Drosophila melanogaster: one gene and its partner. The protein of the gene in region 1 purifies or fractionates together with the protein of each later gene. This does not show direct contact. Each region holds a gene or a part of one and is shown in the gene's direction. Other genes may lie near its edges.

What was found.
Region 2: the proteins of Trissin (region 1) and TrissinR fractionate together in Drosophila melanogaster (co-fractionation; one study listed by BioGRID). This does not show direct contact.

The regions. Positions count from the first base shown.
Region 1 is NT_033777.3:15,480,966-15,492,597, reverse strand, and holds Trissin (trissin), read left to right. Parts: upstream 1-7,201; 5' UTR 7,202-7,261; coding exon 7,262-7,313; intron 7,314-7,375; coding exon 7,376-7,469; intron 7,470-7,523; coding exon 7,524-7,704; 3' UTR 7,705-7,868; downstream 7,869-11,632. Other genes in the region: obe (obelus), read right to left, coding at 1-77, 139-3,027, 3,086-3,494, 3,555-4,530, 4,589-6,270, 6,325-6,455; B9d1, read right to left, coding at 9,748-10,085, 10,204-10,591. UniProt on the Drosophila melanogaster protein: Activates the G-protein coupled receptor TrissinR in vitro, leading to increased intracellular calcium ion levels.
Region 2 is NT_033779.5:5,817,593-5,831,138, forward strand, and holds the start of TrissinR (trissin receptor), read left to right. Parts: upstream 1-7,201; 5' UTR 7,202-7,657; intron 7,658-13,546. Other genes in the region: COX6CL (cytochrome c oxidase subunit 6C-like), read right to left, coding at 456-704, 779-793. UniProt on the Drosophila melanogaster protein: G-protein coupled receptor which is activated by the Trissin peptide in vitro, leading to increased intracellular calcium ion levels.

The DNA.
Region 1 (11,632 bases):
CGCTTGGCATACTCATTCTCCATATGCCGACCCTCTACGAATATTTGAATTGCTATCTCGGGCAAGTCTTGGATTACCTGGAAATGTTTAAAGTACCATTTGAATATCGTTCAGCAATTTGGTTAATTCGAATCGTACCTTATACATCTTTTCGATCTCGTGCTCCTCGAAGGCATCTCGCAGTGGCTTCGCCAGTACTTCGTACTCTTGTTTGCACAGCTCCTTCAGCACGGGTAGTGTTAAGTAGTCATAGTCATCGTGTGGTATGTTCAAAAAGGCATCGAGATTGTCCTCGTTCACTCCTGGCAACGTTAGGAACTCACTACCGTCGAACCATCGGGCCTGAATGACGCTCTGCATCAGTTGCTGCACAACCAGAGTCGTCGAGAGCCATCCCCGCTCCGCTGTGTAGTCCACCATGGCTTGCATCACTCGAGTGGCGTTGTCCAGAGCCGACTTTGTGTCTGTTAGGTAATCCGAATTCGGAAGGGACTGCCGTGCAAAGTGGGCCTGGAGTAGCAGGAAAGTCTTGGTGTACGAAGAATCCCAAGACGATGAGGGCGGTCTAAAGCGGCTTACTTCAGCCATTTCCTCATTGTGCTTATCCTCGTTGTGCCGAACAGGCAGCTGATCAAATTCATAGGAATCGGCTATGGCGAGGAGAACTTTCTTGGTGTTCATGCCAGGCTGCAAATCCTCCAGGAAATGCTTCATTGTGCGGTACGACAGGTAGTAATAGGAACTGATTCGCCCCAAGAATGTTGGTATCAGACATCCATCGCGCTCCACCAGACAGGCAGCGGCAGAAAGCTCATAGACCACGCGCTCAACCAGATTGGACATAAAGTTATTTACATTCTCCGGTTCTATGTCCTGCAGTTGGTAATACGACGGGTTTCGGAGCAATCTCCTGAAGAAGTACGTCCACGTAAGATAATCCAGAGCGGCCTGCTTTGACTGAACAGTTCCAGCAACGATTTCAGCGTTTATGTGCTCCGGTAGCACTCCCAGCAGACTGGACTCTACCGGGAATGGATCGTACAGAAACTTTTTGTAGAAATTCTTCTTTTCGTCGTGCACCAGAACGACGGCCACACCTTCATTGTCGAACTGCGGCCGTCCGGCTCGTCCCATCATTTGAAGCACGTCGGTAATGGGCATGTCCACGTACTTCTTCACCTTCCCGTCAAAGTATTCGGTACCTTTGATCACCACCAGATGAGCTGGCAAATTAACGCCCCACGCCAGTGTGGCTGTGGCCACCAGGATCTGGATCTTCCTATTGAGGAACAGCTCCTCAACACACTTTCGATCCTGTTCCTGCAAACCGGCGTGATGTAGACCAATTCCGAAAGCTAAGCAGAATTTAAGGTTCTGTTCACGAATATTCTGCAAGATCAGCTCGATTTCGTCTTCGGGTATGTGCAGGAACTGCTTGGGATTGGATTCGCCGGCCACAAAGGTAATCAGGTCCAGCGCCGTGAGACGCGTCTGCCGACGCGAGGACACAAAGACGATGGTGGGCTCACAGGGGGAGTAGGTGCGAATAGCCTGAAACGTGGGCCGGTTCATTGTTGCCATGCGAGGACAGTAGTGCTTTCCAGGGAAGCCATTGATGTGCACCTGGAGAGGCACTGGACGCACCGAGGGCTTGAAGTTGTACAGTCCCATCTTATTGATTCCCAGCCAGTTGGCCAGATCCTGAGCGTTAGCCAGTGCCGTGGACAATCCCACGATTCGGATAGCCCGACCGGTATGGGAACTGATAAAATTGGTTCGCGATACAATCACCTCGATGACCGGTCCTCGATCCTCTCCCAGCAGGTGGATCTCATCGATGACGATTAGCGACACGTGCTGTACGTATTCGCGGGTCTGCCAAGACCGACTGATGCCGTCCCACTTCTCCGGCGTGGTAACGATTAGTTGAGACTCTCGGATGGCCTGAATGTCGGGAGTAACGTCGCCCGTTAGCTCAACAACCTTGAGACCCAGAGAGGAGCGCTGGAAGCGTTGCTCCCAATCCGCTATGCGTTCCTTCACCAACGCTTTAAGTGGAGCTATATACACCACTTTGCACTTGGGATTCTGGTTGAGTGCCCTGAAGATGGCTATCTCCGCCACAATGGTCTTACCACTGCCAGTGGGAGCGCCTAAGAGCACATTGTTGTCGGTGTGGTACAGGCAGTGAAAGATCTGCGTCTGAATGGGATTAAAGTGCGTGAATTTGTAGAGGGATTCGTAGACAACGTTCTTGAGGCAGCTGACTGGGAGTGGGCGGAGGGGCAGAAGCTCCGTTAGTGGCGGGTGGTGTTCCGGCAGCACAAGATGTTGAAATGATAATGGAATGCATGTAGTACTTCCCAGCCAGTTATCGCTGCTCACTCGTATGTAGTATTGTGGCGGCAGTGGCTCCTTCAGAGGAATGGTCATTACCAGCTGCTGCGACTGGCCACTCATCACCAACTTCCGGGTGACCTGAAACAGCTCCGAGTGGTAAATGTAGTTCGACTCCGGATCTTCAATCCACAGCCAGAAGCTTTGGCACGTCTTTCCATGAACCCGGTCGTTCCATGTGAAACTGGGCCAAATGTCCACCTTGATTCGCAGCACCGTTCGAGTAATTGGCTGCAGACTTGCTTCCACTTCCAACAAGGGTAGTTCGTGCGCCGACCGGATAACCAGGTCTGCGTAGGTATTGCTGCGAAGCCACTCCTTTAGCTCGCGATGCTCCATATCCCTCAGCCTATAGACACTCAGACCGCGTCGTTCAAGTTTGTCGATGGTCTCAGCGTTAATGGTTGGGAACTGTTTTAGGTGGCAATCAAAGTCCCATTGGCGACGTTCAAACATCTTGCAAAGCTGCAGCATGTTTCCCGACAGTACTGCATTATTCTGGCGCAGTACAATGGAGAATAGCGCTCTGCTTATCCTTCCTATATTCGTGGTAATATATGACATGTCGGAGCTCAGTGAAAAGGACTTCACGTAACCATTGGAAAGATATGTCTGAATCAGAATGTTCACCTAGCAAATCAAAACCAAATTAAGCTTGGCAAAAGCATTGCAAAAGATCAATTGTTACCTTGCCGTGTACATTCTCACTTCCTCCGTATGGCTTTATCTTACAATAGGCGTTTTTCAGTTCGTCCAATTCCTCCATCTCGTCATCGCGTACCTTGAGTTGCTGAAACTCCTGCGCCTGGGAAATCATGGCCAAAATCTCAGCCTGGGTCATAAATGGCTTCATCAGCTCGTTAAAAGTTTCCACAGTGTCGTACTTAATGTAGAAATAAGATGCAGTGCGACCTAAGTCCGTGATGTTCATGTCCATGGTGCGCTGGTTAAACCGCATCATTCGAGCCTTGTCCAGACTCATCGCTGCGGACATGATAAGAGCACGGCGGCGGGCTTCCAGCGTGGGATCCTTCTCCAGCTCCGAATACTCGATACCGTACACGTGAGGATTTATTCTCATGCGCACAAACAAGTACCTTTATAAAATGAAGAATATTAACAAATGATCCATCTAATGAAGTTCTGTATCAACTTACGTGTAACTGAGCCACTCGATAGCTTCGTCCACATTGGTAATTGTGCCAAGACCAATTTCCGCATTCAGATTGTCGGCCAGACAATTGACGAAGTTGGACTCGATGGGGAATTGATTGGTCAGCAGCGACAGGTAGTGATTCAGCTTATCATAGCTGGTGATGATGGTACCCACTCCACTCTTGTCGAACTGTGGCCGACCGGCGCGTCCAAAGATCTGCAGCACATCGAGTATGCCCAGGTCCACAAAGCTACCATGCTTGGCATCGTATATATCTGTGCCTCGGATAATGACAGCGTGAGCCGGCAGATTGACACCCCAGGCAAGCGTGGCCGTGCAGACCAGCACCGAGATGTGACCTTCGACAAAGTACTTCTCAACCATCTGACGATCGGCGCGTAGCATACCCGCATGGTGCATGGCCAAGCCGCAAGAGAATAGCTCCACCAGTTGCTTGTTCCGACTTCTCTGTATCGAACGCGTTGCAAGTCCGTGAGCAGCGGAATCCTTGGGAAGAAACAGGGCACTGGTATTGTTCTGCTGGGCCAGTTCGCGAATCACATTTGCCGTTCGCACCGTGGCGTTCCGGGCGTGGACAAAGACCATAATCTGATGACCTTCCTGTACCATCTCAACGCACTTTTGGTAACAGCACTGGTCCATATCAGCGATCTGCTGCAGCTGCTTCACCGACTTGATGCCCACAAAATTGGTGTCCAGTGGAACAGGACGGAAGCGCGAGTCGAAATAAAATAGGCCCTTCATAGGATTCACCCGCAGGAAGTGAGCCACATCGATGTAGTTTGGAAGGGTTGCGGATAGGCCAACGATGCGAATCATTGATTGCGAGGACTCAACAAGGCGGAGGGTTCGAGCCACCAATGCCTCCACAACGGGACCTCGCTCACCGTGCAAAAGATGCACTTCATCAATGATGAGTAGCTCTACCAGGCTTATCAAAGCCACGTCGCCGCTGCCTGGAAAGTAATATTGTTAGCATATATTGCAAAAAAAAAAATAGAATATTATTATTACCCTTTCTGGTTACCACATCCCATTTCTCCGGCGTGGTGACTAGTATCTGGGTGGCAGCCATTTCCGCCTTGGTCAGCTGTATATCACCCGTCAGTTCACGCACAGCGATTTGTAAAGATTTCAGGCGCTTCGAAAAGTTATCAACCATTTCCGCGGCCAATGCCTTCATGGGCGCAATGTAGACGATCTTGAATTCGTCCCGGTTAATGACTCCCTGTTCCAGGTGGCAACGGATGGTGTGCACAATGGAAAGCATTGCCACGTTCGTCTTTCCGGCTCCCGTGGGCGCGCAAACCAGCATATTTTCATTGCTGTGATAGGCAACCGGAAAGACCACTGACTGGATGCGATTCAGCTCCTTGCAGTTGGCAAAGGCCAGTCTACCCACGTCGTCCAATTCTTCGATTTGAACGCGCTTGTTGCCAACAGAGAGCGGAGGTGGCTCACTCGCTGGGATCTTGACCTCCTCCCACTGTTTGTTATCTATGCGCTGTGCGTTATCGGGCAGAGTGATTCTGCTGCCACCTATAAAGCCAGCGTGCTGTTTCGCCAGCAGCTGGCTGTCGAACACATAGGGATAGTGGATGGGCTGGTTGTACGAGGATTGTTTGTATTCCGCCTTCGCCGCCTTAGTGCTGAGCAACAGAGGCTCCCGCTGCGCTGCCTCCAAGAGCTTTCGCTGGTGCTGCATGCGCAATTGTTGAACGGAAACGGCAACCGCACAATTCGGATCATCCTCGGCCTCTTCGTCCTTAATGCTTCGCATAATGCGTTGCAGTTTCTTCTCCTCCCGCCGCTGCATTTTGCTCAGCTGCTTCTCCTGGGCCGACTGAACTACGACGGCGCTGGCGACGGTGGGACGCCGCTCTGCAGCTCCACCACTGGCAGCCGCCTCCATGCGCTTCTGTTTCACCTCCATGACGCGGCGGGATCGTGTGGCGAACTGATCTAATTGGCGAGCGATCTTGTCCCGTTCCATGAGCAGTTTTTCTACTAATTCAAAGTAATCAAATCCTAGGATTTCCATAAGTTCATTTTGCAACACCTCGCTGCTGCGCTGGGAACCGAGAATGTCGCCGACGCGAATTATTAGGTGCTCGTCGTCCAGCTTTGCGGAGATTTCAAGCAGAGTCTGCAGTTCTGGACTCAACTTGGCGGCTTCCGAGCTCGTGGACGCCACTGGGGCGGCCTTGGTTGTGTGCTTCATAGAGAACTTGTTGACAGTTCGGTTTTTGAGTAGCGCATCCGGCGCTAGATCAGTCAGCAGGCTGATGTCCATCCACTCGGAGGGCGTGCACTTGACATGTATATGGGCGCCCCATAGTGGACCCACTCCAGGCACCTTGTGATGCGTCTGTCGCCACCGCTTGAGCGCGGATCTTTCGTGATCCTCCAGCAGATCGCCGATGGCCTGGACGCAGTCGTGAATTTGGGTCTTCTTGCGATCGAAAGTCTGTCCGAACATGCCGTGTAGCCGCTGTGTGGTGGCCACCAGGAGCACCCGCTGATCCAGCAGCAGCCAGAAGAGGAAGAGCGCCGCGTGCTCCACCACCTGTGGCTGCTCCTCGTAGCCCATACACTCCTGCACCAGATTGCGCAGCTTCTGTAGCTGCACCTTAGCGGCCGGCTGCTTTTCGGTTGGCATCTGAGCCAGCAGCCGTGCGATGGTCTGCTCCTCCTTGCTGGAGAGGAGCGGAATTGAACGAAATTTCACAGGTGGTGAAATCGCTACTCACTTTTGGCTGTTCGTCGTCGTGGAAGCAGCAGAGGTGGTTCTCGCCTGCCGCAGGACGTTCAAGCGCCGGCTACGGGCCTCCAGCTCCGTCTTGGCGCGCAGAGATGCACTCAATCGTGGCGGCTCCCACATATTCAATAGATATTTATGACTAGAGCTGGAGTTAAGTTAATGTTTACGTTTATTCAATTCCCAAAGCGCAGAGTGGGCAGGCTTCTTCTTCCACCGAAAATACTGAAAAATACTAAAAGCGGTCACACTGATGAAGGAAACTTGCTGGTGTTGCCACACTTTGGAAAATATGTTGAATGTCGAATATCGTAAGTTTAAATTCAAATAGAAGACCGTTACAAATACGCCTGCGGCATTAAAATTAAGTGCAATGACTAAATACTTAAAAATTAGGATAAAATAAGAAAAATTATTACTCTGACTAGCGCACAAACTATGTAACAACACCCAATATCGTCCGTATTCATTCTAGGGAAATCAGTAGTCCTGCCACTGACTGTTGATGACTGTTGCTCACAATTTTAATATGCTTAACTTGCCACTTGCCAACTAGATTAAGAAGTTTTACAACCTGCGTCCAGCTGCTTTGATTTGCGGCTGCCAAACGACCCCCGCCCCAAACAACCCCAAAATAAACCCATAAACTTGTTGCGCAAGCTGCAATTGTCTGTGTGCTCTTACTTAATATGCGCTCCATGTTCACATGCCCACTGGAGTCCTCGTCCTGGCTATTCATCCGCCACACGCTTCATTGACCACTTTGAATGCCAGCATCTCAAAGTGGGCAACTGTCCTGCAGCCGATGAGTATATAAAGTCAGGAGCCGGCAACTCGGTCCTTTCATTTGCGCTTTCTCAGGGATACGAAACAGGACACCAAGCGAAGATCATATGAGTGGCACAGCATTCTGAGCAGACGGCCGACCAATGACTAAGACAACGATGCATTGGCTGGCTCACTTCCAGATCATCTTGCTATGTGAGTTTCAACTAAGAGCAATCATTGTTTAGGTTTTGTAACTAAATCTTTGGCTTATCAAGGCATTTGGTTGATGTGCCCCCCCAGTTCGCAGGCCATAAAATGCGACACTTGTGGCAAGGAGTGTGCCAGCGCATGTGGCACAAAGCACTTTCGGTAAGCTAACATATTCAAAGAGTTCGCCAAGTGATATACATTTTACTACTCCAGCACATGCTGCTTTAACTACCTTCGCAAGCGATCCGACCCCGATGCACTGCGTCAGAGCTCGAACAGGAGGCTCATCGACTTCATACTGCTGCAGGGGCGTGCCCTCTTCACCCAGGAGTTGCGAGAAAGGCGCCACAATGGCACATTGATGGACCTCGGCCTGAACACCTACTACCCCTAAGGATATCCCCAGATGAACCAACTTGGACTGACACCAAAACTGGCAACGACTTCGATTAACGAACTATGTGATCCAATGGCTATGGCAAATGGTTGAAATGCTTGAAATGTTACTTACCAATAAAGGCACAAACTTCTTTGGGGCACTGTGCTTGATTAAAGCACACTTGACTAGTTGATAAACTGGGTGGATTTGATTTTGTATCAATTGCTGTTATATTTTTACTATATTTTTTTTTTACATTTTTTTTACATTGCCATCTTTTTTTTTTTTTGGGTTTTTCCTTGAGGTGCCATTTGCAAAATAGTTGAGTCTTTTGTAGATCTAGAGCTGTCAGTTCCCTACGTCTGCAGTCGTCGTCGTCTTCGAATCGCCTAAGCCTGCGATTCGCTAATCTCGGCGGTGGCCTGTGTCCTCGAGTCCGAGGTGAGATCGTCCTTGCCGCAGGCCAGGCATGGCATCTTCTCCCGTAGCACCTGCTTGTACTTCGGGTGGCTGTTGCAGGAGATGCATTAAGAAATTGGTCATATAGATAGATAAGTAGGAAGCTAATTAGATATTACCTCAATCCGTACACAATGGGATTGCACACGGCATTGGCTTTGGCAAAGACGGATCCACAGATGGTGCTCAGTGGACTCAGGTGCATCGATTCGAAGATGCCCGCGTAGTTGATGATGGTATACGGAGTCCAGGCGAAGAACCACAGCGATATGGTGGTCAGTGCCACTTTCGCCAGCTTGATCTCGATGGCCTTGCTCTTGTCGGCCTCGCTGTTCCGCAAGGAGGCCACGTTCATCTTCTTCGCCTGCTCCCGCATGGCCTTCTCATGGGCAGCCACAGCCTGAAAGGCCAAAATCAATCCTTAATCAAACAGAATCCTTGGATAATTAGTAACGAATGTCATATTAGAAGATGATGGTCAGCAGCGGCGTGAGATAGACCCACAGGGAGTAGACGATGATGTAGGACCTGTTCCACCAGTCCTTGGCAAAGTAGTCAGTGCCGCAGGCGGTCATGTTGCCCTCGGGCACATACCGATTCCAGCCGAAGAGCGGCATCAGGGCCCACGCTCCGCAGATGGTCCACACGACCATGAGCCGGAGCACAGCCGCCGTGGCCGTCAGTGGTTTCCTGGCCATTCCCTTCACGATCACACAGTAACGATCGTAGGCAATCAGTGTCATCGACCAGATGGAAACGCATCCGAAGAGCGAGCCAAACATGCCGTATAATTCGCACAGGAAGGGACCCATGATCCAGGTGCCATAGAAGCCATTCAGCACCACCGGCGGGAACATGGTGAACATCATCATGAAGTCGGAGAAGGCCAGATTGACCACAAACATGTTGGACGGCGTGCGCAGTCCCTTCGACGAGGTAAAGATGTACATCACAATGAAGTTGCCCGCCAGCGACATGGTGCCCAGAATGGCAATCACAAAGCCAATGATGCCGAACCACATGGGCTCCAATGGAGGCCACTGGTACCAGTACGGATCCACCATGTGCATAATCTCGGCGGGCACACTCTCCGCCAGGCTGAGATTGCGCCCATCGCGCATATAGGCGAAGCTCGGGGGATGCAGGCTGGCCATTTCGAATGGCTGGTACTGGTGGCGCTTCGGTGGTGGCTTCGTCTAAACTTGGATGGCTGGCTACTCTGCTGCGGCGACTACTCGCTGTCCATAGCAGGACGGCTGACTCTCGGGACGCGAACTCGGCGGCAATGCCTGGGGCGGACCATGGTCGTCTGGTCTTTATATGGCCACTTGTGTACAACGCGTCTTAGACTAATTGCCCTAATCCAATTAGCCGGCACTTGGCCAATCCAAAGCTAACCGTTCGAATTGGGCTTTCGATTGCCGCTCGTTTGCTGCGTTGGATTAGCAGCAGTCGCGTCATTTTGAAATCGTCTTAGCCGCCACAACGGACAAGGTCAAGTTTGAGGTACCACCCACCCGGCAATTAGATTAAGACAAACGCTTTCCTGCTTCCTCAAGTTCACGTTTTACTAACACACTCTGGACTCGACTCTCTCTCTCAGGAGTGCCAATGGTAGCCCAGCTTGCGGGCGCCCCTCATCACGGAGGACAGCTGAAACTGTAGGCTGCCGTACGACTCCATAGAGAGTCCCTTGCACTTCAGGTTGTCCAGCAGCACTTTGGGGTCCTTCAGCTCCGGCTCGCGGCGCAGCAGCCAACTGGTGATGTCCGCCATCATGTTGGGGCACTTGGGCATCAGGATGGGCGCCTGCAGCTGCTCCGTCTGATCCGCTGGACGACGACTGCCGAAAACGGGCAGGTGGATGTGAGCGTAACCGAGTAGTGTCTCCCTGCCCAGGCCACTGCGTCCGAACACGGTCACCAGGATCTGTGGCCCTGGAAACCAAAAGAATTGGAGATCTTGTTGGTGTAACTTCAATCTGATTCGAAAAATTGTTAATAGCTGAGCTGAGAAAGAATATAGTAAACTAATCGATTCTGTACTATTACTCACAGCCATATGGACTGGTGCTCTTGTAGGTCACCTCGATGGGCATATTGAAGACAATCGGTTCGTTGAAATGGCCCCTTCTATTGGTGGCCAGCTGGGTGAGTCCGTGCTGGGGTCCGGAGGACAGCTGCCAGTCGGGACCAGCGACCATTTCGTAGCGCAGGAAGACGAACTCCTTGTCGGGACCCAGGGGAAAGGTGGCCGAGACTATTTGGCCCACGATGCTCAAACTAAAGTAGCTGGCAGTGGCTTTCGCGTCCATTGCATTGGGAACACTTTCTTTGGCACTCCGGGACTTCTTTTTGGCCTTCTTGGCCTTTTGTTTATGTTTTTCATGCGGCGGAGTGGTTTCCTCGTTGCCCGGGAGACTGATGCCTTCGCTGGCGCTCATGGTGGTGGTTGCCGACTCACAACGGGGTGTGTTTCCAGCCAAGTCGAGTGCCAACTATTTTCCACCTGCCAAAACTGACTTGGCCACAAACTAAGTGTTGAAAGTGGTCAAAAAATATGACAGCTTGGACCGAAAAAAAAGGGATATTTTCTATAACAATCGATATATTGGGATTATATAGCAAAAATTGTTCGATTTATTTCATACGATTTTTGTTAAATGCATTATTGTATTAATTTGATGTTTATGACTTGCAAGATCGGAAACGAAATGATTGTAAACAATTTCCTCTATATTTTGATGATTCTTAAGGTTGAGTAATAGGAATTCCCCAGAGACACTCAACAAACGGATGGTTTATGGCCTGTCTGCATTTAATAATAGTTTAGATAAAACTGCGATGATAATTTCTATTTTTCTCTGATTCAATGAGGCAACATGTTCATAAATCACATTAATGATTCCTTTCGTTATGTATTGTAACCAGTTGGTGGATTTCCTTTGTTTCGTTAGTTAAGTATTCGCACACTTTGTCATGTCGACAGCAATGTAATTTAATTCCAACCGACATCGCTGGTTACATGGACATCGAGTGGTTCTGGCTTCCAATTTGCATACTCCGATCCAGATCGAGATCGAAGAAACATATCTGCACACCGCTGGTAAGTGACAATTACAAGATAATAACTCATTCTGCAGACCGGCAGTCTGGGCGGGGCAAAAGGTCAATTTCAATTTCGATTCGACTCACAACTCTTGGTCGGTCGTGTAATTAATGCTGTAATGGCCATTTAGCAATTTATAGCTGCCAACGTGGCATGGTCGTAAATCATTGTAACAATTGCCGGCGCTACCGAAGTCTACAGGAAGTCGCGCCTTCGATCTTCGATCCCCCGGTGCCGCTCCCTATTAGCATGATGCATTATGCAATGGCCAGTGGACAAGTAGCCAAGTAGCCAACTGGCCAACAGCCAGGCAGTCAGTCAGTTAGTCAGTTAGTTAGTCAATTAGTCAGTCAGTCAGTTAATCAGTTAATCATGC
Region 2 (13,546 bases), on another chromosome or scaffold:
TTTTCGATACTGCCTGTAAGTTTGTCGGTCGACAGCTGCCTTCCTTCGGTTTGCCCCACATCTCAAAACGCCCATCTCGCATGGTTTCACATCCTTTATTCAGCATTTTAGGCAACAATTCGAAGGATTTCCGCCATCATCGAACACATATTGGTTAGCTTCGCTTAAAGGCGATTAAGTCGCTGAAGATCTCCAAGCACTTCTCGATTTAACTAAAACACAAAGCTCAGCTTTAACTTCGCTTCAAAAACACAATTTGTGATTCAGACACTACTGTATAATTTTACATTTTAAAATAGTTTGCAATGCTCCAATTTATTTGTAATGCAATGTGTTAACTAGTTCATGTAAATTTTGATTTCCATTTAGGAGGTGTGTCGACAAGGGGTTACATGGTTAATTTGTCTATATGGTGTTCAATGGGAATTGAGATAAGATACTGTCGGTACCTTGATCTATTTCTTCTTCTTGTCATCCTTTTTGGGACCACTGCCCGGAGGACAGGACGATAGGTATCCTCCACTCATCATGCGGTCGAACGCATCCATGGGATCGTAAGTGGAGTAAAAGTTCCTGTACTTCCTCTTGCGCGGATTGTTGTGTAAAGTGTAGAAAAGAAGTGGAGCTAACAGGGCCAAAGTGCAGGCCATTTTTACATTGCGAAACGTTTGCTTCAAGTGTAAGTCATGCATGGGAAACTTAAACTCGGGGGGATGAATATTATAAAGAAAAAAATATATATTACATTTGTTATGATAATCTACGAACCGTTTCTTACCTTTTCTTCGGGCATTTTCGAGTTTCTCTGCTTATTTCGGGAAGAGAAATGAATGTGAAATGTATCTCAGCTTAACTCGTTGTTACATTGAATGCTGAGCCTACTATTTTTTAATATTTGCTTAACGATATTAAGCGACATAACAGTAAGCAGCTTTGTGGACCCTGGGGAATTAACTAATTCAACAAACACTTTTTGTCTGGCTTAGTGTCATATGTATATATTTTTTCGGTTATTTTGTTATGACCCCTAAGGAATAGGTGCTGCTTTCCCACGGAATTGTGGTTGTGTTGATTTACATCCTTTGTTAGGATAAAGCAGCGATGCAAATCCTTTTTTTCTCGGTAGTTGTTTGCCAAATCAATGCGGATAATTATGTATGGGATGTGAAAAAGGACATTGTGTAAATAGTTGTTCAAATGTCGTTTACTGTTGTTTACTAATGCAGGCTATTGAAGAGGTGCTTCCCTCACTAATATCCACAAGTACCCTTTGCTCGAGCCAACAGCAAATATTTGTTTATTTAAGCTTGGCTAAGCAATTGCAAAACTACTATGTTTATATGACAATTGTGCACACTACAGTCTATAAAATGTAATTTCTTTTTCTCTTTAAATTACCAGATTATTAATGCTTTTTCTTTCAAAGTTCAATCTGTTGTCCAGGTGCACTTTACTTAATTTTATGCTAGTCATTATTTTTCTTGTATTTAATGTCAGGGAAAATCTGCGCAGGGAATTCGAAATTTGCATTTGGCAATTAAATTTCTAACAAACCGCTTGGAAAAACACACCAGGAAAGTTCACTTTTTCTTCTCAACATTCTGACCATTCAACTTTGACCAGACGGCAAAATTTTTAAGTCTGTGCATTGAACCGTCGTGCAAAAAGACAATTTCAATATGTTTGGCGCCTCAAGGCGTTGACGGCATTTATATTTATAAGCCCGGACTTTCATTCCTTTTGCAGCCTTCTATTTCCACAGCGATTCAGATACAAGACTCGTACACTATTGGCAAAAGAGACATTTTCGAGGGCGTCTTCGATATGTCGAGTGACCATATATCTTTCGGCTGCTCAATCCGCAATCTCATGTCGATAGACTTTTAAGTGTGCTTTGAGCTAAGTAGGTGTAATCAAATTTAAGTGGAATTTTGAACTTATAATGGCTCTTAGCTGGAAGACTTACCACCACCGGTTGTGTCCAACTGTTGCAAACAAAAATTTGCGCTTATGTGCAATTTGCTTTTATCGCCAACGCAGACCAAAGTCATTTTAAAGTTTCAAACAAATAGAAAAGGTTTTGGTTGAATCTTTAAAGTTGCTAAACTTTAGATATATGTATATATTTTTTAAGATAATCATCTATATTAATTCAGCTTCCAAATATGGTGCGTGTCATGTTACAAAGATATCTCGTTACTATTTCTCCTTACTCCTGGCGGTTTGTTAGATAGTCTCGACTTTAATTTATTAAGTTTTCCCAGGACTATTACTGGGACCTTTTGATTAATATAAACACGAGAATCGCATGCTCCGAACAACCTGCAGCTCAGTGAACTTTGTCCCCTATCCCGGCAATTAGGATGGGAGGGCCAATGAACCCCAATACCATCTACTTTTGACGTGGTCGTGTCATTATTATCTATTACTTATGGCCCAAGTGGATGAATGGCCACGCCCCCACAACCACCGCCCTCAGCCCGGGCACTTCAAGCTAATTGTAAGTTATTGACACGAAACGTGCTCCGGGCTTTTGCCAATAACGGTGACGAAAGGGGTGACCTCCACGCCCACCTGTAACCGAGAAACGGCCACCGTTTGCGGTAAATATAACTTCCGCTGGCTTTTGAGACGCAGCTCGTCCTTTGTCCTTTCGCCACTCCAGGTGAATCATCAAACTAATTGAATTATAAATGCTGTGCCAGAGGTAAATATTGGGCATTATTTAATATAAATTCAGTAATGCTTGTTGTTTGTGCCTACAAATTGATGCAGAAATTCAATACTTCTTTAAAGGGCAAAACAAATATCAGGTTACAATAAAAATGTGTATAAAAGTATTCTAACTCTTAAAATGTATTGTGTTCGATGTTAACACAAACTGTGCCATGGAAACATTATAAAAATCTAATGGTATACTATGAACATTGTATTTGCTTACATTTGTCCAGTTCTACACTTTATTAGTTATTCATGAAGTTGGCGTGTTTTCTATTTTGCGTCCAGTTGAACACCAAATTCCATGTGGTTCAAGCTCCAATTAAACTGCCAAAGAACGATTCTGACTGACACGAAAGCTCAATTTTTGCCACTACAAACTGACTAAATGTGAAAAAAACAAACTTTTAATGCAACTATGGTGCTTGGCATGGAAATCTACAAACCCGAATTGAAACCAGAAGGGCAAAATCTTTCAAAGCCTCAAAAAGCATAAACATTGCCATCCCAGAATTATAACTTTCCTTTTAGCCTGCCCTCTGCTTCAGATTCAGACGGAAAAATGTCTTATGTGCAGGAGCATGGAACAAAGGAACTATAAAATCCATGTATGGCCAGTGTTCGTGTTATCTATCTCAATGTTAGTGGTGTTCGCTTGAGCTTTATGGGCCTTTGCCGGCAACGCCGTTCGCCAAAGGGTTCATTAGTCCTTCCAGCTACAACATCAAAGCCAATGAACGTATAAAATGCAGGGAAGGTGGACGCGGAAAGTGGAATGGTGAACTAACTGCAGTTGGTTGGTGGGGGGGGAGGGGTAAAATGGCACAAGCGCAAACAGCAAAATGCCAAACAAAAGCCAAGGAGCCAAAGCCATGCCAGAATGAAAGCAAACGTGACACACGACATTGGAACAAATTGCGTTGGCACTGCGGCGCAAAGTATGCAAAGCGAAAGGACGTTGGCTGGGTCAATATCCATCCATCCATCTATCTAACCAACGAATGGACCTGCTGCTCTGGCGAAAACTTTGCCGACTAGACCTGAAAAAAGTTTCATCTGGATAACTGAGAACTAGCGCAACTGGCGAGTGGCATCGAATCGATTGTATAATTGTCGATGCCAGTGGATATTTTGTTACGGCCCGATTAGCCTCCATTAAGCCAGTACCCGCCACGTATTCGTCCTTCAAGGACGTGTTTGATTTGCTCACGCACGCTAAGCGCAAAGTGCTGTCCGACATTCGAACGGCGTTTTTCTTTTTACGCCCCTTGGGGCCGTCATTATTCATTAGAGGTTGGCCAACTCCCCAAAGTTGGAATTCGCTATCAGCCGGGCACTTGCCTTTCCGCCTGCGGCTTGTTTTAATTAGTGGCCAGATGATAAGTAACCGCCTGTTTCCTGTTAACAACATTTTCCTAACGATTTCACTGAATAATTTCATTACGGACAAAACGAACTGTGTAATAGCCTTTGTGTAACGTATTCCTACAACTCATGTCTATTCAAACTATATTCCCCTTTAATAAACTACCAAGTAAAGTTTAAAAACACATTTGAATATAGTTATCGGCCAACCACTTGCAATCCAATATCCATTTTAAGGAATAAAGTAAGATATTGCTTATTGATTTACTAAACAACAAAACGAACTGTCAGGCACTTTGAATGCAACATATGTAGCCTTAAATTTATTGCTTCAAAAGAATAGTTTCCTTGGCCTTAGAATAAGAGGCAAAATAATTTATTAGGATTTTATTGCCACCAAGGCTTCACATATACTTCTCCTTTTTTTAACGCTTTTTGTTCCTTTCTGTGTACCATTTTATTAGATTACGAAATTGAATTTTTAGTGATATTTATTTGAAAATAGATACTTATATCGATGGACTCGACTGCAGCTTTCCATTCTGTTTATAATCACTTGTTTTCCCACACGATTAAGGTTGGTATTCATAATTCATTCAATAACAGCTAAATAGCTTGAAGACGAATGTGGAATAATACTTAAGAATACTACCAATAGTTACGTATGCTTAATGTAGTTAAGTATACGACCTGTACCCTAGTGTATCTGAATGGCAACTACTTAGATTGTAAAATTAATTGCCTCTTATGAGCCACTGTTTAATCTGCTTGGCCAACCGCATTGGTGATATGTATTTGTTTGCCTACTGCTGAGCCAAAATCAATTAATTTCAATGGAATTGTGACGGGATGTTTGTTGGACTCTTTGCCGAGTTGGAGACAATTGATTAAAATTGCTATGCCATACATCATGCTGCGACTCAAATTAAATTTACATTCAAAGTCGTTGGGACTTTTAATCTTGCCTTTGCCCACTCCATTCTGAGCGATTCTTTGGCAAGCTCTAAGCTGAAAGTACACATACTTAATTTATTTGCGCACAGCTCGCCGACCACAATTCAATTCTTTCAGTTTCCAAGTACTGACCGCACCCATGTGGCTACCACCGACTTATGACTACTTTTCCACTTGAACTTGGCGAAGGTTTTCGCTTGGCCAACAAGGGAGATTTTCATAGCCAAAAGGGGAGATCCACGACCCAGCTGAAAAATGTTGAAAAATCTAATTGCATTCGAATTTGTGCGTCCTTTGGTGAGATATACCAAATACCAAAATATCATATTTTCGTACAAGCTTACACTAGCTAATTCCGAGGAAATCAAACTTTAAGAATTCCGACTTGGCAGCTTAGCCAAACGTCCTTAGAAGCTGGATGACATCGAAGGGAGTTCACGAACAGATACGCCTTCTAAGATTGATTTTTGTTGGGAAACTGACTAATGCACACAAAGCTTTTCAAACAGCAGTCACTCTCGCAGTTTTCCGCAGCGCACAAGGTGCAAGTTTTCCCGCCTTGTTAAATTTGTATACTATTTGGAATTCAGCAGGAGGCACGTGCATAATGCTTATCCGTTCGAAGGATCAAGGTAACAGAACTTCTAAAACCGTTGAAATTTCTGAACAATTGGCATATTATTATTTTTTTGCTGTTTAATTGTTTTATTAACTGCTATATATAGTTAGTGTCATTACTTTGGGATCCTCTATATTCAAGGATAGCTTATTATAAAGGTAAATCTACTAAGGCAAAACAATCGTTAACTCTAATTGCGTTTCACAGCACTTAATTCCAAGATCCTCATTGGCTCCAATTTGCGTCATAATTTTTTGCGGGCGAATGAATGAATTCTATTTATAGGCATAGTTCCCAGGATATGCTGTGTTTATATTGGAACTTAAAATAATTTCCTATTCGTGTTTAATGATAAATTTACTTTGACTTCCCTTCGCAGGAAAAACAACTGCAGACTGGCAATCAAATGAAATTTGAAACCAAATATCACACAAATATGGTCTTCCGAATTCAGAGCGCGTGCGCGGTGAGAAAACGCGCCGAATGCCAGCCAAAAACAGCCGGCAAATGTCGGAAGAACAGCAAAAGTGCAATAGCAACCACAACGACGACAACAACTTTGCCACTAGTTCAAGTTCAATGCAACAACAACAGCCAGGAGCACGTGACGCACAAGTGGAAATGCAAAGGCCTGCCACAACAACACAACTTGGCTAACAGCTCTGTTAACTTGGCCAGCCAGCAGGCGCTGTCGCTGTCTGTCGACTGCCGCCGATTCGGACGCCGCCTTTCGTGTTGGCCCGCTTTTGCGAAACGAGCCGTCAGAATGTCGCGGCATCTCAAACGAATCGGACGCGAAATGCCAAAATCGAGCGGGAATTCGAACCCAGAACTCCGGGTGATATTTGAATAATATTTTCACTCGTTTTCGTACTGAATAAGCGGAATAACCGCTCGTGGTTGTGTAAGTTCGCCGAATGTTCGGATTCGACAGAAGCGCAATTTCTGAAATATTTATGATACTGTCAGTGCAAGTTAATAAATTGTGAAAAGCTGCACCGAGTTATCGCAAGATTGAGGATCTCAAAAGTGAAATGTTTCCAGTTGTTGAACAGTTCATTTCGTCCGACGGATTACTCGAAAATCGTATTGAAACGAAAAATATAAAACAATTTGCAAAAAACGCTTTAACTTAAAACCATAATGTGCGCCGCTTTATTCGTAAATAGTAACTTTATGACATTATTCTGATATTACTTTGAACTTAAAAAATATTCACTCCCAACTTCGAAATTTATTTCTTAAACATGATTGAAAAATACGTTCTCTTGCACCAAAAATTAATTGAAAATAGTGTTATTTAGGATAAATAATTGAACAACCACGTATACAACTCTTTCTTAAATCGAATAAATTTTACGGAAAACGGCTACGCTCGAATTATATATAATTAAAAAAAATCATTAAATGCACTTGCAAAATAAAAAGCTAAAATAAGCCTTTGTTTAAATGCCTATTTACACATACGATTTATTACAATGGAAGCATGAAGCTTTTTGCAAAAATTATATCTACTGAAAATGTTTGATATATTTTTAGAAGTGAACCACATTCGCGCCGAGCTAATTGGAAACAATAAAATAATTTTTGGCCACTAAACGATTGTGAAAAACGAAGGTCATTGTTACAACATGGTGGATTCGCAATGAGTGAACAGCAATTTTTGTTAATTCCAGCGCTACACTAAATACGTGAAGCGTTAAGGGAAAAAACAATATTTTCAAAAGCTATAACCATTTCGTTCGTAAAATATCTGCGCGGAACCCAAAAGAAATGTAACCTAAAAGATTTGGCGCATCGGAGTCTTACTCCTATAGATTTATACATATGGTAGTGCTTAAATTTGTGATTTAACTCGAGTGAAAATCTGGCTAATTCATTTGTAAGCTTTCTTAAGGACGAATTCAATCGAAATTGGGAACATATCCAAAACTTGGAGCACGTTCCAGAAAGATAATAGCTAATACTTAGAAGGATTTATCCTCCGATATTCTACCGCAGGTGAGAAAGTTTCAAATTAATAATTAATTCGGCTAATCTCGCAAATATGGATTATCTGACAATTTTGAGTCCACGATGTGAAGATTGCCGCATAATCGTCGGGAAATCCGACTTTCCGCACGTGAAAGACAAAAATTGAGTGTTCCCACGCAATCCCGAAGAGAACAAACAAAAGTGATGGCAGCGTGTCGCAGGTGTGCCTTAGCCCATTTGATTCGGATTGCGCCTTTGTTTTTTTTGGTTTATTTTTACGATTTTGATTTGCCTGCTGTGCGTGTCCCGATTAACAAAATGGCAGATTTGTATTTGCACAGGTCCTTGCCTATTTTTGTCATCACCACCACCGGGCCGAAAGCAACTCGTACAATCAGACAGAAGGCGGTTCATTAAGATACCTTTTGAAAAATGTGTTGACACGAGCCTTGTGATTACACATATGTACATGTTGTCCTCCACTCACATCCACTCACATTTTCCTACAGGAAAAATTAAGTGACTAAAAATTATTGACTAATATGGTTTTATGGCATTCCGCAGAGCAGAGCCAAAAGCTTCAGTGGAAACATAAAAACTTTATTCTAGACAGAAAAGAAAGTTTAAAGCCATAAGCTCGTTTTACAGCCAGAAATAAACTAGTTTTTAGGCACTGGATAACGTTGGTCATTTTGTTTCCTGCTAAATTTTATTACGGTCACAAAAGAGATTTAAGTTTTGCCTTTGAGATATTTTCTTACCGCATCCAAAAGTTGAAAACGTACGACAAAACAAATGGAAAAACAAGGAATAAATAAGGATTTGATTTAGTTTTTAAAATAGTTCCCAATACTTTCAGGCAGCAATAGCGTGCAACACAGCTTATGAATCACACGGACTTAATCAACACTTTCTTTCAGTTTAACGAAGCACTTAATACAAAAACAAAGCATCACTCGGTGAAATTGATTTATTTTCCACTTCGAAATCGAAATTCAAGACTCGAATCACCGGCTCTTAATAGATTAAACTTTGTCATCTGATTTGGGCATCATGGAAATCGCCTCCAGCCACCCACAAGTGGCAAAAACTAAATGAGGCGCAAATGACAAACATTGCCAACTGAACTATGAAGGTGTGAGATTGCCTCTTTTGCGCTGCGGGTCCTTTTTCCTGGCACTTTCTGTTGACGACAGGATGCTCGAAATTCAAATACCCACAGCAACATCGAATTAAGTTTAATTTAGGTTTGCGCCATCCAACCGTTTATTGGAATTTCGGCTTGTGCGAGGCGAACGCAAATTAATTGAATTATTTCGAATAAATTTATGAGAGTATAATCAGTTAATTTGTTTCGGCTCTATGGTAGTCAAAAGCTTTTAGCGCTGCGCATTTTTTTGCGATTTTTAAAAACCATTTAAAACTAATTAAAAACAGTCGGCTACAGAATTGTGCATTTTAAATCATTCCACTTAAAAGTGCAAGTACTTCGCTGGTTATTGTTGTAACTCGAAAAAAAAACTGAACATATAAAATGTAATGGGGCTTATAAAGGGAAATTTTTCTGTAAACTATGTATATACAGTATACCCTTTAGAATTTTCATTAGTATTTTAAGTTAATGAACCCTGGCTGATTAATTAAATAGCGGAAAGCAAAGAAATGAGGAAAGCAGAAAGGAATTCGAAACGTAGCAAGAGCTTCTGGAAGGCGAACTTTAATAAATATTTTCCAAGTATTGTGTCGTGTTTTGTTTTTAACTTCCTGTGATAATTTCCTTTGATTTAAAAATATATACATATTTTTTGCTCTTTAAGCTCGACTTTATAGGGTAATTTTGTGAAATAAAGCTTAGGCAGTGAACGTGAAGGTAATCTGACAATTTATGCCTCGCTGCTTACGACTTTCGTTCATATGTTGTATATATGTTCCATATATGTTGTATATGAGTTTTCTTTGCTTCAGTTGGCGGTAAAAAACTTTGGTTACGAGCCTGATTCTTTCACCTTTTTCCGCTGGGCAAATCCTACATATTTTGTAGCATATTTTTCGGCACTTGTGGGGGAAAATATGAAAACTCCTACGTAAAGCAATGTATTTTGTTTCATTGCATTCCGTGTGGTTTATTTCAGTCATAAACCAAGAAATTTGCATTGTGAAATTATTGGGAATCCGATATCAGGACATTTTTCATCAGACGAAATTGAATTTCTCGTGAATTCTCCCCCAAGTTCTTAAGATGCCTGAAAAAAGCCCACCAAACTAAAAAAAATTATATACGTTATTTACGATTTAAAGACCCACCATTTATCATATCTACTGGTCTGGGGTCAAAATTTCCTCTGTTCGCCCTGTTTACATAATGACCCAAATAAACATGTTTGTTGTTCTTAAGCGCCCTACAGTCGTGTACATTTTTAGAGTTCCATGTCCTGAGCTCAGCTTTTTGCCTAGCGCATATTAATGGCCGATTTGTCTGTGGCCCAAAGATATATGGGCCATTCCTAAATGGCCTGCAAAAGGAGGCATGCATAAGTACCTGTAAAATCCCAAATAAGAAGACTTTACTCGTTGAGTTTTTGTAAGAAACTGATTTTATTTGGAAATATCTTCGGTTTAAATAGGTGACATGAGAATCGCATCTTAAAGTAAATGGCCTACGCAGAGGCCTACGTAAATAGTCCCCGCCTTATCGAGGTCCCACGCTCGGGCACATCTGCCTATCTTGAGCGGCGAGGACCTTATCTGTGGTCTCCCACTAAGGGACTATTTTAGGAGGCGGGGAACGATCTCAAGTGACTGACTCATGTAGTGTGCACTTAAATTACATGTTTTTGAGCAATGCACCCATGTCGCCTTAGATAACAAAATCCTAAATATAATTTATCGCTCTCGATTCATTTACATAAGATATGAACGGAGCCCAAAATTGTAAGTCTTTAAATATATTCGTGTTCATGTGTGAACATTCTGCCAAAGGGCCAGCAAAGCTGAGATGTACATTAGTATATTAGTTGCATTTATAACAGTAGTGGGCTGTATTTATTTGATATATGTTCATTTATTTTGCAACTAAGATTTCAATGGGCCTAGTTTTTCTGGCTTTTAATTTTATTGGATTACAATTATGGTTTATATTATTTTTAATTCAACAATTTGTACTCAATTAACTTATTTTAAACATTTTGCTTTTTCTATGTAGAAGTACATTTTCTATTAGTGGACTGTATATTTTTATTTGTTATATTATTTTATTGTTTATTTACTATTGATATTTATAGTACTGGCAACGGACCTGCAAAGGTTATTGCTTGCATTCTTTGTTGCACAGCACATTTCCGTATGAAATATATTATTAATACTATCATTAGTATTAAAGCAATAATTAATCCAGCATGTCCGGAAATATGATGGAAATGTAAATCTTTCAATTTTTGATGGTTCTCTTTCATAAATTTAATTTCATTATTCAATCGTTCAAATTCCTCAGTATGATTTAATATTGATAGTTTCAGCGGATCCCAAATAATCTTCGGCACTCCACTAACTTCTCCTATATAAGGTGTTGATAATAATTCTTCACTTTCGGACTGAATGTTATGGTGGGCAACTAGAATTTTATCGTCGGTTCTTGCCGTACAATATGGCGCAATGCTTAAAACTCCTTGCTGAGGCAAATCAAACAATTCAATTTGAGAGCCAGTACATTGCAGACGGACTTTTGAATTCGCAGGAACCTTAAACAACCAACTACTTTTCTTTTCTAACTCTACCCAGTAACTTTTAGAGTCGACTACTGTTTTATAGATGCAGTTCGCCGCTTTATCTGGCTTTAGAGGCTGAATCTCACATGCATTATCATTCGCTGAATTCCAGGGCCAACTTCCTTTGATTATCCGATCTTCATTTCGAATTGGCACCGGAATAAGCCTGAACAATTTGGATGGATGCCTGCTAAACAGAGGCACTTTTGCACTAATGATCAATTTATCGTCGATGAATAAACCCCTGGCTGTTAACAGTGTATACACCTCCTTAAGTTCCGTACCTGACCGTTTTCCTGGAATTACTAGGTTCTCTGAAAGACTCTGCTGAATTTTGGCAATTTCTTTTTTAAGCTGATTTGGCCTGAGAATATTTGTATTTAGCCTACCGTGATTAATATCAATCAACAGGCTTATAATGCCTGCTTGAATTTTTTCGCCTTCTTCAATCAATGAGTGTAGCTGTTTCGTAATCATAAAGAATTTTATTGATTCCTTATAAACATAATAATTTTCTTTAAGAACTTCTGTCATGTTCTCAATTCTTATTTGCATACTTCTAAAATTGGAGTTAACATCTTCTGTTGTTCTCTTTAATAGATTAGAAGTTGAATCAACCACAGATGTTTGTTTTTGAATTAGTTTATCAAGGTTGTTCTGGTTATCTAACAAATTCTTCATATTTTCTTCTAATTGCTCTCTATCATCTTCATCCATTATACCAAATAAAATATGATACAAGGAACCCATAAATTCGAAAGGAGCACGCTTGCTTCTAGATCTAGACTGCATCATAAACAATTTATTGTTTTCTTCAAGTTCCGATAACTGACTTTGCATATTATCTAAGACTAGACTACATTGCTCTTCAAAGCTATGAAGTCTTTCGCAAACTTTCCTCATACTTTGTATAAGCGCATTACCCTTTGTTAACATTTTAAAATATGGATCCATTTTATAATAGATAACCAAATTCCAAGAAGTACTCACAATCTCAACATCTCCTAGCGGGTCTAGATATATTGCTGAGGTTTTATTTATTTTGTCTATAGAATATCTTGGTGCTATATCTTTAGGTAATGCGCTAGAAACTTGACAACTTAACACAAACAACAACATTGCCATAATGATTCCGATCTTGGACATTCCCGATGTCGCTCTAGTTCGTCTTTTTGGCTCTTGGTCAGCCTCATTTTTGTCAACAGACTTTATTCCTTCCAAGGGACAAATTTTAGTAATGGGTCTAGTGATATATCCTTCCTGCATCTTTACTTTAGCCACTCGGACCTTATCATCATTCCCCTTATGCACCTTTTCCACCTTTCCTAAAGGCCATCTTGCAGGATGACAATTCTCATCCTTTAATAAAACTATTTGCCCTTCTTCTATATTAGGAATTTCCTTTTTCCATTTATTCCTTTGCTGGAGCGTATGCAAATATTCACTTTTCCACTTAACCCAGAAATCTTTCTTCATTTTTTGGATAAGTCTCCACCTATCCAAATTTCCGATTTTTTCATCTTCCATTGGTTCGACTATTTCTAAAGGTGGTCTTCCAATTAAAAAATGACCTGGTGTTAAAACTTCTTGTTGGTCCTTCTCACTAACTATAGTGTATAATGGCCTTGAATTTAAGCATGCTTCTATTTGACATAAAAGAGTTGACATTTCTTCATAAGTCAAAATAGTGTCGCCGATTATACGCTTTAAATGGTATTTCATTGACTTAACTCCAGCTTCCCAAATACCTCCGAAGTGAGGTCCTGCCGGGGGAATAAAATGCCAATCAATCCTGTCCTTTTCAAGCTGCGCTGCAATCGTTATATTTTCTTGTATTGCATTAAATAACTCTTGATCTAATTTTCTTGCAGCTCCTACAAAATTTGTTCCGTTGTCTGAATAGATATTGGAACATTTTCCCCGTCTAGCAATAAATCTTCTGAGTGCTGCTAAAAATGCGTCTGAAGTTAGATCGCTTACCATTTCTAAGTGTATGGCTTTGGTGGCCATGCAAACGAATACAGCAACGTATCCTTTAAATGTTTTTTGGCCACGATTTTTTGAACATTTAACATAATAAGGACCTGCGTAATCTATTCCAGTATTAAGAAACGGGAATGTCATCGTCACTCTATATTTTGGCAAGTTACCC